Ovis aries: one gene and its partners. The protein of the gene in region 4 purifies or fractionates together with the protein of the main gene of each other region. This does not show direct contact. Links are inferred from orthologs where the notes say so. Each region holds a gene or a part of one and is shown on either strand. Other genes may lie near its edges.

Region 1 (3,749 bases), on a different chromosome or scaffold from region 4:
TCAAATACAGTTTGGCATATCCAGATCAAAGCAAGTCATACACAATGCAAAACGTAACCTTTACTTTTTTTTGTAAAACGTGATTTTGCAATCTTGCTGGCAATTCATCTATAGGTGAACACAGCTGGCTTCTAACAAAACAATTCACTACATAGCTGACCTAAATCACTGTGTTGTTTTGAAGTGAACAAATGCGGTACACAAAATAATAATAATTAAGTACTTGGTACAGACTCTACTTGTTCAGCACCACCCTCCATATATTAACCATCTCTCCATTTATATGCACCAAAGGAAACTGAGGTGCTTTCATCATCAGTTAAGCATGTTTTGCAAGTTCCCACCCACTCCTTTGAGAATTGTTCTTTTCCAAAAATTAGATCACCTTTAGCCAGCACCTACATTCACCTTTGACACACTAAGAGACTAACCACACCCCAATACATCACCTGATCTTCTATCGTGGCAACTAAGTGTTGTCACAATATTTTGGATTATTTGCATACTTAGGATAACTAAACAAATATATCCCTTGTTATTTATACCTCACCAATTAAAGAGAGAGCATCTCTGGATAACTACTTACTGCCCACAAACTACATTTCTACAAGAACTGAATTTACCCAGTATTAATACTATGATGTTTCAAGATGTAACAAAAGAGGAGCACAAAAATTCAGACTTCAAAATTGTTAATTAAACAGAACATTCTTTGACATAAATTATAGCAATATTTTTTGGATCTGTCTCCTAAAGCAAAGGAAATAAAAGCAAGAATAAACAAACAGGGCCTAATTAAAACTAAAAACTTTTGCACAGCAAAGGAAACCAAGGACAAAACACAAAGACAACCTACTGAACAGGAGAAAATATTTTCAAATGATACTACCAATAAGGAAAGAGTGAATATTCAAAATATACAAATAGTTCCTACAGTTCTTCAACATCAAAAAAATAACAACCCGATTAAAAAATGGGCAGAAGACCTTAACTGACATTTCCCCAAGAGGATATGTAAATGGCCAATAAGCACAGGAAAAAATGCTCAACATCTCTAATCACTGGGAAATGCAAATCAAGACTACAGTGAGATATCACCTCACACCTGTAAGAATGGTTATCATTGAAAAGAACACACATGCCGAATGCTGATGAGGATGTGAAGATAAGGGAATCCTCCTACACTGTTGGTGGGAATGCAAATTGGTGCAGCCACTACGGAAAACAGGATGGAGGTTTCTCAAAAACCGTAAAAGAGAACCACCACATTCCCAAGCAATTCTACTCTTGGGTATATATCTGAAAAAATGGAAACAATAATTCAGTCAGACACATGTATCCCAGTGTTCTCAGCAGCATTATTTACAACTGCCAAGAAATGGAAGCAATCTAACCATCTGTCAACACACGAATGGATAAAGAAGATGTGGTGTACACACACACACACACACACACACACACACACACACACAATGGAATACTACTCAGTCATAAACAAGAATGGAATTTTGCCATTTGCAACAACATGGATGGACTTGGAGGGTATTATGCTAAGTGAAATTAAGGCAGACAAACACAAACACTGTATGATATCACTTATATGTGGAATCTAAAAAATAAAACAAATTAATAAATATTAAAAAAAGAAACAGACTCATAGAAAATAAACTAATGGTTAACAATGGGCAGAGGGAAAGGAAGAGGGCAGAGGACTCAGAGGTGCAAACTATTATGTGTAAAATAACCTATAAGGATATACTGTGTAACATAGGAAATATAGCCAGTATTTTAAAATATTATACATGGAGCATAACCGTCAAAAATTGCCAATCATTATATTGTACACCTGTAACTTATATAAAATTATAAACTATACTATATTATATATATATAAAGACAAAGTCTTTATTTCCCTCTCACATGAGTCTCAAAGCCTTTCTCTTTGACTTGACAAGTGAGCTCTTTAGTGAATCATGAAATTAAAATTCATTCTTCTTAATTACCTATCTGTAGAACTACTTCTAAAGTAATGGATAAGATTCTTTAAACAAAACTTTTAATGAAGGCTGTATTTTTTGCATCTTTCACATGGAGGTCATTCTTACAGATATTCCATCTTTAGAAACCGTACCTGGCAGCCAGTCTGAACAACATTCAAATCCCACTCAGCGTTAAATGTAGCAGGAGTAGGAAGCTGAACACATAGCACTCAACTGATGAGGAAAAAACATACCATATTTAACAAAATTCCAGATTCTTGAGGTCGGCATCTGTATAAACGCTTCGCAGTGTTGGATATGTGGTTTGCAAAAGCAAGCAAGTCCTCCACGGTCCCATATCTGACTGAGGACAACCAGGGCCCCTCCTGCCCACTGAGCAGCAGAGACTCAGACCGCTCCTCCTCGTTGTGGTTGCTGTCCTGACACATGGTCAGCAGACTGGGTTCATAAACCGCTGGCTCTTCACTTGCATAAAGATTTTCCATAATGTCTATCACATCGGACACATTCAAATGTTTCATTAATAAATCGAGTTCTTCTTTGTTGTCACTCCCGGTGCTCATGAACTCCATCACTGTTGGGCCCTCCAAGGAGTCTGCAGAAGAAAGCGCGACTACTTACTTTACTGTGTTTGTATTTGCGATCAATAGGAAACTGACAAGACTGACTAGGTACAGGCTTCTATGTGCTTTTGTTCATAAAATAGGGGCTTCAGCCACAGGGTGTGTGAGGTCAAGTGCACAGACAGTGAAGAAGGGACCTGAGATAACCTTTAATCTGGCGCTGACTTTACAGAGAGGAAACCTGAGATCCAGTGAACTCACTAGCTACCCACTTACTCACTGAATTGCTGGCATCAGCTGTAGCCTCTGAAAATAAACATTCACTAAACCCAAGTGTGAATTTGAGGAGCAGGAGCTGAAGCACCTGGTTCTTGACAGTTTCCAACCTGCTGCTCTCCCAAAAGGGGCAACCCTTTCTGCATGATCTCTGTGACTTTTAGGCCTTGGGTGAATTTAAAAAGAAAAGAAACTCTCTTGGAATTCCCTGACAGTCCAGTGGTTAAGACTCAGCCCTTTCACCACAGGATCCCAGGTTCAATCCCAGGTCAGGGAATGAAGATTCCTCAAGCCACATGGTGTAGCCAAAGATAAATAAATACATACAATAAAAATAGAAATACACTTAAAAAAAAAAAAAAGAAATTCCTTTACCAAATTCAGGAGCTAGCTTTGCAAATCAAATTCAGGTCTTGAAGCCAGAAGCATCTCAAATGGATTGTAATCTAAGCAAATTTGGTGATGGTAAATCAAGTTTCAGGAATAATTCTGATGCAAATAAATTAAACAGCTCACTTAGAAGGAAGACAGCAAACCTCTAATCCTCCTTCTGCTGAGCATGGCTATGAGAAAGGAGAAGATTCTTTTAACCTGTAATCAGCCGTCCCCTCCTGTGACCAGAACTCTTTAACAGGACAAAGCATGCATCTCACAGACTCAAGAGGGTTCATTTAACATCTAGATCAATGACTCCTTAGAAGTTGTGGTAAGAGGCCAGGGCAGCCAAATCTATCATAAGCAAGACACAGACAAGGTCAACTAAGTCTGCTTAGCCAAAACTGTACTTCAGTTTTTCAGACACATCAGGAGCCATACTTGGGGATCTGTAAATGTGAAAATGAAGAGAAATGAAGGGTAAACAGTGAGGCTGTAACCCAGGATTTTGGAATAATCCCATCCCAAAGGGTTA
Region 2 (4,260 bases), on a different chromosome or scaffold from region 4:
CCACAACTCTTGTCAGATACATGCAAAAATAGTGACAGTTCTTTAAAATATTGTTTTAATTAAATAAATAGTAGGTCATCACCATGGAAGCTTTTGGAAGTGTTAACATGCATTCAGCCAAATACAGTTATACTTCAGTCAATGTGGAGAGTCCCAACCTTCAGTGTTCTCAGGGAGAGTCCATATATGTATATGCTGTGGATTTGACTGCTCTTCTCCTAAAAGGAATAGGAATGTGCTTGATGGTGGGAAGGAGCCAGGATGACATGACTGACTCCAGACAGCCCCTCTCATTTGCAGAGCATTTTGAATTTTACCATATTTGGTTTTTGTTTTTTTTTTTTGGCTTACATTATCAGTTGATCCTGCAAGCATCCATCCAGTGAAGTAGGTTATCATTGTCCTTTGCTGTCAGATTTTAGAAAATCAAGATTCATTAGATTAAGCAACTTGCCTGAGATAGTAGATATCCGAGCTAAAACTTTTCTTGAGGTATCTGTCTAAACTTTTCATCTTGGAAAATATTCAAGCATGGGTAGGAAATGGAATAATGGAGAATCCTAAGTTAGGGGAAATTTTTTTAATAGAGATCTACTTCCATGTAGCAATCACTCAACTTTAGCAAGTACTTTTAATGATAGGTGTTGCTAGTTGGGGAAAACCCAAATGGGTGTGTGTTGTGTGTATATTTGTGTGTGTGTGTGTGTGGGGGGGGTTCTTCTCAGCATGTGGAGCTTAATAACCCTAATCACATTCACATGAACATCTGCTGAAAATGAGGACTCTTGGAATTCACCCCAGTTGCTCTTAACTCTTGGAGAAGGGCATGGCAACCCACCCCAGTATTCTTGCCTGGAGAATCCCATGGACTGAGAAGCTTGATGGGCTACCATCCACTAAGTCTCAAAGAGTTGGACAAGACTGAAGAGACTTAGCTGAGCTCTTAACTCTGGGAATCTCTAAGGGTGAATCTATATCTTTAACAAGAGACCCTCCGCTGGCCTTTAAACTTGATTTCGAGTGCCTTTCCGGGTCTGTAGTTGTCCCCCTTGAGTCCGGGCAGGGCTGCGCCGGGCGGGGCAGGGCTGGGCGGGGCTTGGGTGAGGTTAGAGGGAAGTGGCGGCAGGGGCACGGTCTGGCTTGGAGGGGTGGAGGGTGAAGGGTTAAGGGATCCACGCGCAGGCGCTGCCCTCTGAACTGGAACGGAAAACAACTTCCGGTTGGAGTCACTCGGCTGGGCGCCGGGCGACTTGAGACTGGAGAGACCGGTGCGGAAACCCTGAGCTGTGAGTAAGAAACTTCGCTAGCGAGTTGCAGTGTCCGAATGCATCGGGCACGGCGACGGAGAACTTGTGTGTGTGAGCAAGAGGGATGCGCTGGCCGTATGGGCGCCACAGGGAGAGAAGCCGAGGAGCTGCAGTGACAACCAGTTCTCATGGTGGGGAGGGACTTTGTGCGAAGGAAATCACCTGGGTCCCTGTCCCGGAGCGGACCGGGAGGGGCTTTCCGGGCCCATGGCGTCTGCGCAGCAACGACGGCCCCTGCTGCGACGGCTGCCGGGGAGGGATCCTGCCCGACTCCGCGTCGGCCGCTCTCTGTGACTTGATCTCTTGGCCTGCCAACCGGGGAGGCAGGCCTGTGATGTCAGAGTGAGCAGTAGACCCCACCTGGAGGTCCCAACCCCTCTTGAGGACCGGAGGCTGCCTTCCAGAAGTTAATACTATCTTTGTTACTCTTTCAAAAACTTCCTAGGTTCTTTCTGTTGTTTTTCCCCCAAGGTTATTGCACAGTTTCTCTCTCAGCTTTCCTGCGGGGTGTCATCATAGCCTTGTCACTGAGAAGTTGGGTAACCTCCCCGAGGGTCAAGGAGAAACTGGATGGCTGAGGCAGAAAGAGCAGAAGCAAACCCTGCCCCCAGTGGGAACCGGGCGTTAGGCGGAATCCCTAGCGTGGTGTAAACTGGCTGGTGACGAGTTACACGTGTAACAAGCTGTGCTCGTCACGAAGTGAAGCAAGGAGGGGAAAGATACTCAAACCAAAGAGTCTCTGTGTCTCTTACTATGCCGTAGCAGGGAGAAGTAGAGCAGCCTTTGCTATATAAAGTGTCATGAAGTGACCCGAAAGTAGAGGAAAATAGCGTGATCTGTTTCCCTACCACGACGGGAATACACACTTCAGAGAGGGGGAGTAGAGAAGCGAGCTCTGTAGTCTGCTGAAAAAATGTTTTGTCCCTCTCATTGGGGAGGGGAAGAGAACCGAGAACCCTAAAGTGCTAACAGTCATGTTTTAAGCAGAAAATGAAACTCCTTCACGGCCCTCTCCCCAGCCACAGGTACTCCAGCGCCTTGCACATCTCTCTTATGTGTACATAAACGTGTTATTTCGCTTTCTTATGAAAATAAGATTGTATGTGCATACAGTCCTATAATTTGGTTTTTCAGATAGAATATATATAGTGGAAATCTTACCATATATAGCTCTGCTTTACCTTAATGTCAGCATGGGATTTCTTTGCCTGGGTGTTCCAAATGTAGTTAAACATCTCTTAATATGGCCTATCTATGTATTTTGCCCTTGTTCTTCACAATTATTTAATCTGTATTTCATTAGGATACAGATATATTAACCCTTTGTGATTTATATGGCGAATATTTTCAAGACCTATCAGTCTTTGGGTTAAAATGCCCAGGTTTTCACTTAAGAAGATGGTCCTCACCAAAAAATTATTAAAATATTTTCCTATATTGTTCATTAAATATTCTTACAGTTATGCTTTACTCATTTAAATGTATGAAAATTATTTTTGAATATTGTATAAGATAGGGATTTAGCCATTTTTGCTGAAATCATTTGCTGAAATCAATTCATTCCCAACTGGCTAGAAAAACTACCTTAATAGAGTAAATTTCCAGGCCTACATGAGTCTTTTTTGGATTCTTGTGTTCCTTTGTTCTATTTGCTTCTTCCTATACAATTACCAATCTCTCTTTGATTAGGCATTTTGTAGTCATTCATAAAGCAAGTCCCTCTTCAAATATCCTTGGTGATTGTGTTCTCTCTCAGGTAAAATTTAAAGTAAACTATGTATATTTCATTAAAACAGGTTTCTTTGGGGAGTTTTGTTGTTGTTGCTGTATAGTTGCTCAGTCATGTCCAACTATTTGTGACCTCATGGACTGTAACCCACCAGGCTCCTCTGTCCATGGGATTTCCCAGGCAAGAAAGCTGAAATGGGTTGCCATTTCCTTATCTTGGAAAGAGATCTTTCTAACCCAGGGAATGAACCTGATTCTCCTGCTTTGAAGGCAGATTCTTTACCACTGAGTCACCAGAGAAGCCCTTGAGGGGTTTAACTACCCACTAATATTTTGTGACTGACATGTAGATGATTTATATATCTGGCCAACTTTCTAAAATTACTGGTTTTAATAAATTGTCTCTTGAATTTTCTAGGAAAATAGTCATCTGAATATAATCTTAACTCCTTCTTTATATTTAAATCTTTCTTTTGTTTATAAATTTATAGTTTCTCCAAAACAGTGATATATAATAACAGTGATTCTGGCCATCCTTATCATATTTATTCATTTGCAGTTATTTTTATTGTGTCATCATTGAATATGAATTTTATAATAAATTTCAAATAATTTTATTTATCAAAGAAGTGTCTAATATTTCTAGCTACTGGGATTTTTGCAGGGAATAGATTTTGGATTGTGTCTGAAGTTGGGGTTTTTTTGTTTTTTCTTTCGCATTGGCTAGCACTTTGAGAGCAGTTTTGAACAGTAGATGTTGAGTTTTCATTTGGTGTATATATTTCTTGTTGATGTATTTTCATTGCTACTTTAGTACTAAACATTTTTATCAGGAGTGGAAGTTGAGTTTTGTCATATATGGCATTTTGGCATCTAATGTGATCAATCTTGTGGTTTTCTTCCTTGACCTTTTAGAATAGCAAATTGTTTTAGTAGATTTCTACCTTTGTTGTTGTTGTTGTTTTTAATTTTTATTGGAGTATAGTTGATTTATAATGTGTTAATTTCAGATGTACAGCAAAGTATATGTACATATATCCACTTTGTTTGTTTGTTTGTTTTCCCATATAGGCCATTAGTTCAGTTGCTCAGTTGTGTCTGACTCTTTGTGACCCCATGGACTGCAGCATGCCAGGCCTCCCTGTCCATCACCAACTCCGAGGGCTTGCTCAAATTCATGTCCAGTGAGTCGGTAATATCATCCAACCCTCTGTCATCCCCTTCT
Region 3 (3,749 bases), on a different chromosome or scaffold from region 4:
AGGCATCTCTTTATCATCAAGCCAGTGTTTACAATCTTGATACCTATAAACCCGCACTCTGGGTCTCTCCTCCCTGATCCACGTGGCCAACTCATGTGGCTGCTACAGAAACACATTCTACAGCCCAGCCTGCATGTGATGTGTCTGCCTTACCCAGAAGCCAGGAGAATGAGGCTTTTGTTTCTAAGAATTTTCACTTGTTAGTCTAGCACTAGGGCAATTAAAAGAAAAAAAAGTATCCTTGATGTGAACGCACTTTTTGAAGCCACCGTGCTGGCTTCCAAGCATCCAGATACACAGGACAAGCCTCTGGAAAAATTCCTTGTTTTCATTTGAAAACCAAAGTCAGTGCCACTTAAGCTGATTGTCTCTGACACACACAAGCCCCTAAATTTGTTTCACGTTGGAGGAAACTGGCTTCAAATAACTTTACTATTGGTCTCTGAGGCAGAAGCAGCTTAAAGATGACACAGGAAAGAGCCAAAAACAAACTGCTTACTTTGCAGCATTAATTAAATGGGTGGTGCCATGGTCCCAGCCCTGAACGGGGATTTCTACCACCATCAAGTACTCTTTCAGGAGATTTTCCTTCATCTCGTTTTCAGGAACTGTCAAAAAGTGAACTTTTAAGTCTTCAAATCGTCCTCGCTCTCTGTTAACAAGTGGAACAGCTCGGATTTCTGAGGGAAAAAGAAATAGCACGTAAGCAAAATGATTCTACTAAACAAGATTTTGTGTGAGGTCATATATATATATAACGACTGCATTTTGAAAATGCAGAAAGGATACAATTACAGAATGGAAAAGTATTATCTAGCCACAAAATCAAATGGGGAAACAAACTGTGCTAAACTCTAATATAAAATATACTGTTTCCAGGAAGTTCACAGAATATAAAGCAGCCTCCAAGCAGCGGGTCTTACTGGTTAAATTACTGCACTTCAGATTCAGACTGACCTGAGTTCAGATTCTGACTCTGCCACTATCCAGCTCTGTGATATTAGGGAAGTTACTTAACTTCTCTGAGCTTCAGGTGCCTCATCTGTACAGTAAGGCTATCAGTGCTTATAGCATCCACATGGATGCTGTGAAGATGAAATGAAATAAAATATTGTACCTAAAGCATTTATAAAGTACCCTATTAGTTCCACATTAAGCTAGTACAGTAATAGCTAGCCTGCCAGACATTTACTTGCCCCAGGCCAGGCACTGTATTACGGGTTAATTAAGAAATGGTGGCAGTAATAGACATTATCTCCTATTTGCCACTAACATGCTCAAAGTCGGTCCCAAACGACACACAAAACAAGAGGGGATGGGGGGGGCATTATGATTAGTGTGAGTGCATTATTGTTGCTAATCAAACAAATTACAGAATACTATATTTAAATAAAACTAATATACTTAAATGAGGCTTTCAAAAAGGAGCCAAAGAGCAAACCCTGACGTTCAGTAAGAACAGGGTGTAGCAGGATTCAGAAGCAGTTACAAATGTGAATAGATGCTTGGTTTTCTCACCAGGTCCACTGTCCTTCATGGTCACCAGGGGTACAAAGTGTTGGCTGTCATAGCCGAGCACAATGGGGTATCTGTAGCATTCCTGGGCAGGCCAGTGCAGAGGCAGGTAAATCCCACCCACCTTCAGAGGAGCAAAATTGGAACCTGATTCCAAACTTCTCAGCATTTTGTCTGTTTAAGGAAAGAGAAAGAAAAGATAAGGCCCTCTGAGACTTTCATGGGAGTCCATTTAGCTATGGATGCTTGGAACTTGGGTCATGCTAAGAGGTAAGGGATTAAAGCTGAAAGGCACCTAAATACAGAGACGCCATCAGCAGGCATCTCACCTGAAATGACAATGATTGGCCTTCTGAGGATGTTGCAAAGGACAAATATGTGTATTTCTTCCAGTGAATGATACTGCAGTCCACCTCGGGCTGCAGGTGTGTCTGCGGATGCCATCTTGACGAGGTTGTCCCATTCATCGGTCCAATTCTAAGGGGAGAGGAAAGAAACTATTGAATGCATTCTGCATTAAAAAACAACTTTGGCTCCACTCTATAATTATTCACTGGTATCACTGAGCTTACTTTTACCCTTTCTTAAGATCATCACTCAAATTATCACCCATTTTCCCCCCAATTCTGGTTTTCTTCCTTTACTTTTTCCCATTACAAGGCAAACTCAGAAGCAGAGGAGCAGGGGGACAGCACCTGCTTTCAGAAAAATCCCTGCTGAAACACCACGCCGAGCTCCTTGTGCACAGAGTCCCAGCCTTGTGGCCGAAGATGGGGAGGTGCCCTCTGAATCTGACTGACGGGCTCAGTAAAGCAAGCAAGGGTCATCAAACTCCCCAAACAGCCAAAATGCCACAGGGAAACCTGTGATCAGAAAGATCATTCTAGAATGACTCTCCAGCTGGGAAGATGCTGCCTGGGAGCCTCCCAGCAGTGACAAGGGCCTTGGGTTCATCCCATGGGAGGTTTCTGGTGTTTTCCATTGACTCTGCTTAGCCAAGTTCACGTGACCCAGCAAACCATATGCTCCCTGACAGCAGGGACTGGCTGGAGATGCAGTTTTCCCACCATGGAGCTCTGTCAATAAATGTTTGAGGAGGAACCCCAACATACCCGGGTGTCGTAGCAAAGCCCAGTTTCCACGAATTCCTGAGACTTAAGAGACTCCAGCTGCCAGCGGAATTTAAAGTTGCGCGTGTCCGTCTCCTTGAGGGTGCTGAAGAGCACCTTCCTCAGGACCAAGTCTGTGTCCTGAACACCCCACATGTACTGAGAAGCCGCGTGCATGAGGCAGTTTCCGTCACCTGAGGACAGAAGGGAAGCAAATTCTAGCAATCCGAATCTAAGGCCTAGCAGAGGTTTCCAGAATAAACCAGCCTCTCTGCTACCGTAAGTGGGGACCCAGTAGTGCTTGTGAGAAACGCCAAAGGTTTAGTTTCTTTCTTTTTTTTAATTTAAATTTATTTATTTTAATTGGAGGCTAATTACTTTACAATATTGAATTGGTTTTGCCATACATCAACATGAATCCGACATGGGTGTACATGTGTTCCCAATCCTGAATCCTCTTCCCACCTCCCTGTCAAAGGACCAGCTGGTAACATTTCACTAGGTGATGACAGCTTTAAGGGAAAAATAAAAAATCTTTCTTGTAACTCTTCTGTTTAATGAATGCTTCTAACAAAGCCCAAGGAACCAAGGACTGAGAGTCTGGAGACCTTGACTCCAGTCTGGTTCTGCCCTCAGTGGGGAATTTTTTAACCTCTGAGTATTTTTCCTCTTTGTGAGATGAGGGTATTGGATTATGATCTCTGAAGTCCCTTCCTTTCTAACAAGCCTTGATCTTCTGGCTCAGATGCTGGTCCTATTGCTCTCTGACCCTGAGAGAGAACACCCAGAGCAACATGCTCAAACCAGGAAGCTGGTCTGGCTCCGCTTACTAGACAGGGACCGTCTGGCCATGACTCAGGGGTAAATGACTTGACCAGCCCACCACAGCAAGCAGGGCCTGGGAGTTTCCTCTCCTGATTTATAAAATGGGATTGAGACGGAATTACCTACTAGCCTGCTCACCCCTACCTCCCATAAATGCCTTGTGTGAACCCGCCTGTTAGCAATTAGAGTCCCTTTTCAGAGTTAAAGAGTGTCTAGATGTCTACATTTGAAAATTGATTCAGTGTTTACGGCTGGCACTTTAAGAACTCTGAGCCTTTTGAGAAAAAGATAGGTCTAATT
Region 4 (4,297 bases):
AGGTCTGGGGCAGTTCCAAACAGCTGTTGTGGGAAATACTATTGCTCTTGCTCCTGATTTGAGTATTTAATGATATTTCATGCAGACAGACATAATATCAATGGCAAGGATAAGAAAGCAGGAAAGTAAGGATTTAAGTCGGCTTTTAGACACTCCGGCAGCTTCCCACTCTGTCATCACTCCCTGCAGAGCAGAGGTGTTACTACTGAAAGATACATTCACAACTAGGGCTAAAAGAGACCCAGGACATTAGGGTCCACATGGCCCTGAACCCAACACAGCCCCCACACACGAGGAGCCTACAGCCACGCGCTACACACACACCCAGCCCGGTGCCTGCACACACAGCGCAGGACTCCACATGAACACACACACACACACAGAGCCTCTCACGCGCACACACAATCCAGATACAAACAACACCCACACTCATCCCTCAGACCCAACACAGGCACGCACCCCTCAGACCCAACATGGGAGCAGGTCCCTCTGAATTCAGCTGGTACACAACCATCAGAATCAATACCGGCACACGCACAAGCCTCAGAACCATCACAGACAAGACAACCTACAGAATCCAACACACACATACACCTCCCAGAGCCCAAACGAGTGCCCACGCCCCTCAGAACCCAAAACACACACACAGACACACACACCACACAGGACATACACGCTTCAGAAACCAGCAGAGACAAGCACACTCCTCAGACGCATATGGGAATACTCCACCCAGAACCCAGCAAACGCAGACGCCCTTCAGAGCCAGCACGCACAGCCCTCACCCCCAACACAGACAGGCAGACTCCCGAGACAGACACAACACGGACACACAACCCTCAGACCCACCATGAGCACACACCCATCAGACACAACACGGACACACACAACCATCAAAACCCAACATAGGAACAAACCCTTCAGGACAGACTCACAAGCCGCAGACTCCAGGCACACCGCTCAGACACCAGCATGTACAAATACACCTCACAACCAACACAAAGCGGGAAGGAGAGCGGGATGGATTCAGAGCAGCACAGACATCACTGTGTGTAGACAGACAGCCACTGTTTCACGATGGGAAGCTGCTGTATGACACAGCTCCCATTCAACGCTCTGTAACAACCTAGAGAGGGGGATGGGGTGGGGCAGGAGGCAGGGGACATAAGTGTCCCCACGGCTGACTCGCGTGACCTATGGCAGAAGCAATTATCCTCCGATTAAAAATAAACTGTAAACAAGCTAATTAAAAACAATGCAACCACACACTCCTTAGAATTCATATGGGCGCACGTAACCCTCAGACACAACACAGGCACACAGCCCTCACCACAGCCAGGGACCATCACCCTTCAGAACCCACCACGGGCGCAGACACACCCCCAGACTCTGCACAGGCGCACACACACATCTCAGACCCAGTAGGGGTAAACACACCCAGCACCCCAAACCCACACACACACCACTCAGAGCTGCTACAGACACACAGCCTCTAGAATCGATAGGAGCACCAACACCTCTCAGAACGGAGCCCGGGGAGACACAGTCCTCAGCCCCAACATGGGAGCAGATAACGAGCCTGACACACACCCGAGAGCCAGCAGCGACGCAACAACCCTCAGATCTAAGAGGCACACAACCTCTCCGAGCAGAATCCTCCAGAACCCAACACAGAAACACACACTCCTCAAAACCAGCACAGACACACGTACCCTTCAGGACCAAAATGGGCGGATCCCAACAGGGGCAAGCCTCAGAACCACACAGACACACACATCCCTCAGAAGCCAACCAGGGAGCAGACGGCTCAGCACAACCGAACGTACAAACCCTCAGAACCACACAACCCTTAAGAGGAGCGCAGATCCCATAGAGCCCACGCGCCGCGCAAGCACACCACAACATGGGCACACACACTCCTCAGAACCTTCGGGACACACAACCGCCAGACTCAGCAAAGCCACACACACCCCCCAGAAGCCAACGCACACTCACCTGAGAAATGACACGCACACACACACACACACACACAGCACGAAGCACCCAACATGGTCGCAACCACCCCTCAGACCCGACGCTGGGACAGACACGCCCCTCAGGCCCCACAGGGTAACGCCGCACACACACCAACACGCACACAGCCCTCAGACCCACCTCGACATCCATCCCATATCGTCAGAGAGGACAAACCCCTCCCAACCGACAGGGTCACACGGCCCCCAGACTAACTGGCACACACACCTCTCAGAACCTGAGGGAGCGAGACACACTCCTTCAGACGCAGCAAGGCTCAGACGCCTCAAAAGCCAGCACACGCACGCACAGCCCCTGAGCCAAGGCGCACACGCACGGCAGAGCCCGGCTCGACGCTCAGCCCTTACACCCCTCGCGGCGCGCACCGCCCAGAACCCCACACGCAGCGGCTCCGCCGCGGCAGACCACGCACGCCTCACGCCCGACGGGCACACGCGCCCCCGGGAGCCCCCGGGAAGCCCCCGGGAAGCCCGGCCCCGCCGCCCCGCACCTGGCGCAGCGCGGCCTCCGCGGCGCCGCCGTCCCGCTGCCGCAGCTGCTCCCGGAAGCGCGCCACCTGCTCCAGCAGCGCGTCCACGAGCGACGGCGCCGTGTCCCCCTCGAGCGCGGCGAGCCGGGCGCGGAGGCGCGCGATGAGGGCGTCCCGGGCCGCCAGCTGGTCTTGCAGGCGCTTCAGCCGCTGCCCCGCCTCGTGGTACAGGCCGCAAAGCGCGGCAGCCGCGCTCGGGGCGCCCTCCCGCCCCCCGGACTCCGCATCCCCGGACGACATGGCTGCGGACCCGTCCCGGAGGCGCGGACCGCCGGCAACTTCCGTGCCGGGTCTGGGCCGGGGGAGCAGTGGGGCGGCCCACCTTCCCGGAACTTTTCCCGGCGCGCCCCGCCCTCCGCGGAGATCCCGGGCCCGCCCCGCGCCGAGAGGCTGGCCCCGCCCCCCGCGGACAGCGTGCTCCCGCCCCCGCCGAGAGGCTGGCCCCGCCCCCCGCGGACAGCGTGCCCCCGCCCCCGCCGAGAGGCTGGCCCCGCCCCCCGCGGACAGCGTGCTCCCGCCCCCGCCGAGAGGCTGGCCCCGCCCCCCGCAGACGGCGTGCCCCCGCCCTCGCCGAGCCGCAAGACCCCGCCCCCACGGACAGCGTGCCCCCGCCCTCGCCGAGCCGCAAGACCCCGCCCCCACGGAGAGCCTGACCCGCCTCCCGCCGAGCCGGCAGGCCCCGCCCCGCGGGCAGCTGGGTCCCGCCCTCGCCGAGCCGCCAGGCCCCGCCCCCGAGGAGATCTGGACCCTGCCTGCCGCGCGGACCTTGGCCACGCAGGGTCCCCACCCGCCCGGGTCCTGCGGCCGCTCCACCCGCGGTTCCTGGCCTGTCCCAGCAGCCTCATCGGCTCGTGTCGCGGGAGCTTTCAGCGAGTCAGGCGCGGACAAGGAGAGGGGTCAAACGGCCTCTATTTCGCTCCTGACGGAAGGAAAAGAAGTGGCCAGAGAGACGACCCCGAGTGTTAGCCCCGAGCGTGGGCCCGGACCCCTGGGCTGCAGGCCGGCTGCCACGCCGAGCACCGGGAAAAGGGCGGCCTTCCAGGAACTGAGCCCGGCGAGGTACCCAGCCCACCAGCGAGATTCCAGAGCCCGCATCCCCTCTCCGAGGTGTAAGAACTGCTCTTAGGGTAGAAGGCAGGAGGGAGCTGGCCCTTTCCTGCCCTGTTTCTCCATCCGCTCCATCTGCCGGCTCCCAGGCCGACTCCGAGGGTTTTCCCATGGCTCCACGGCTGTTTACTTTTTCAGACTCCGAGTGTCCTCCACTGTAATGCCCAAGCACACCTGTGGTCTTTCGAAGGTTCCCTGGCACACCCTTCTCTGCCCCCGTCCCTGGGTCCCCTGAGAGCAGCGTGGCGTTTTTTCCCCCTCTACATAATCCATACCCGAGCTTGGGCTGAGCCCAGGGAAGACACTCACAAGCTGGTATAATCAGAATTATAAGTGTAGCCAGCTCACACCTCCTCCGCTGCAGAGAGGTCAAGGCTGGCTGCCCCCACCCCTCAGGTGTGTTGTGGAGACTGGGGGACGCAGTACAGGGTGCCTGTGCCCACACGCCCGCAGGCCGCGTGGTTAGGGCTCGGAGACATTCCTGTCTGTGGCACTCCTAATAGGCTATGCAACTGAAACAGTTTCAGTCGCTCTGCGGCTGCTAAGTCGCTTCAGTCGTATCTGACTCTGAGACCCCATAGACGGCAGCCCACCAGGCTCCGCCCTCAGACCTGTCCAACTCTTTAC

What was found.
Region 1: the proteins of TNIP2 (region 4) and MAP3K8 purify together in Homo sapiens (affinity purification with mass spectrometry; 3 studies listed by BioGRID and IntAct, with this or other methods). This does not show direct contact. The link is inferred for Ovis aries from reciprocal best matches to the Homo sapiens genes TNIP2 and MAP3K8.
Region 2: the proteins of TNIP2 (region 4) and TANK purify together in Homo sapiens (affinity purification with mass spectrometry; 3 studies listed by BioGRID and IntAct, with this or other methods). This does not show direct contact. The link is inferred for Ovis aries from reciprocal best matches to the Homo sapiens genes TNIP2 and TANK.
Region 3: the proteins of TNIP2 (region 4) and TNFAIP3 purify together in Homo sapiens (affinity purification with western blotting; 5 studies listed by BioGRID and IntAct, with this or other methods). This does not show direct contact. The link is inferred for Ovis aries from reciprocal best matches to the Homo sapiens genes TNIP2 and TNFAIP3.

Annotation. Positions count from the first base shown.
Region 1 is NC_056066.1:34,691,265-34,695,013, reverse strand, and holds part of MAP3K8 (mitogen-activated protein kinase kinase kinase 8), read right to left. Parts: exon of another isoform or gene 3,215-3,749; intron 2,596-3,214; coding exon 2,234-2,595; intron 1-2,233.
Region 2 is NC_056055.1:148,618,316-148,622,575, reverse strand, and holds the start of TANK (TRAF family member-associated NF-kappa-B activator), read left to right. Parts: upstream 1-1,228; 5' UTR 1,229-2,297; coding exon 2,298-2,332; intron 2,333-4,260.
Region 3 is NC_056061.1:63,031,929-63,035,677, reverse strand, and holds part of TNFAIP3 (tumor necrosis factor alpha-induced protein 3), read right to left. Parts: intron 2,819-3,749; coding exon 2,628-2,818; intron 1,993-2,627; coding exon 1,845-1,992; intron 1,690-1,844; coding exon 1,519-1,689; intron 681-1,518; coding exon 500-680; intron 1-499. UniProt on the Homo sapiens protein: Ubiquitin-editing enzyme that contains both ubiquitin ligase and deubiquitinase activities.
Region 4 is NC_056059.1:116,696,456-116,700,752, reverse strand, and holds the start of TNIP2 (TNFAIP3-interacting protein 2), read right to left. Parts: upstream 2,914-4,297; 5' UTR 2,804-2,913; coding exon 2,525-2,803; intron 1-2,524. UniProt on the Homo sapiens protein: Inhibits NF-kappa-B activation by blocking the interaction of RIPK1 with its downstream effector NEMO/IKBKG.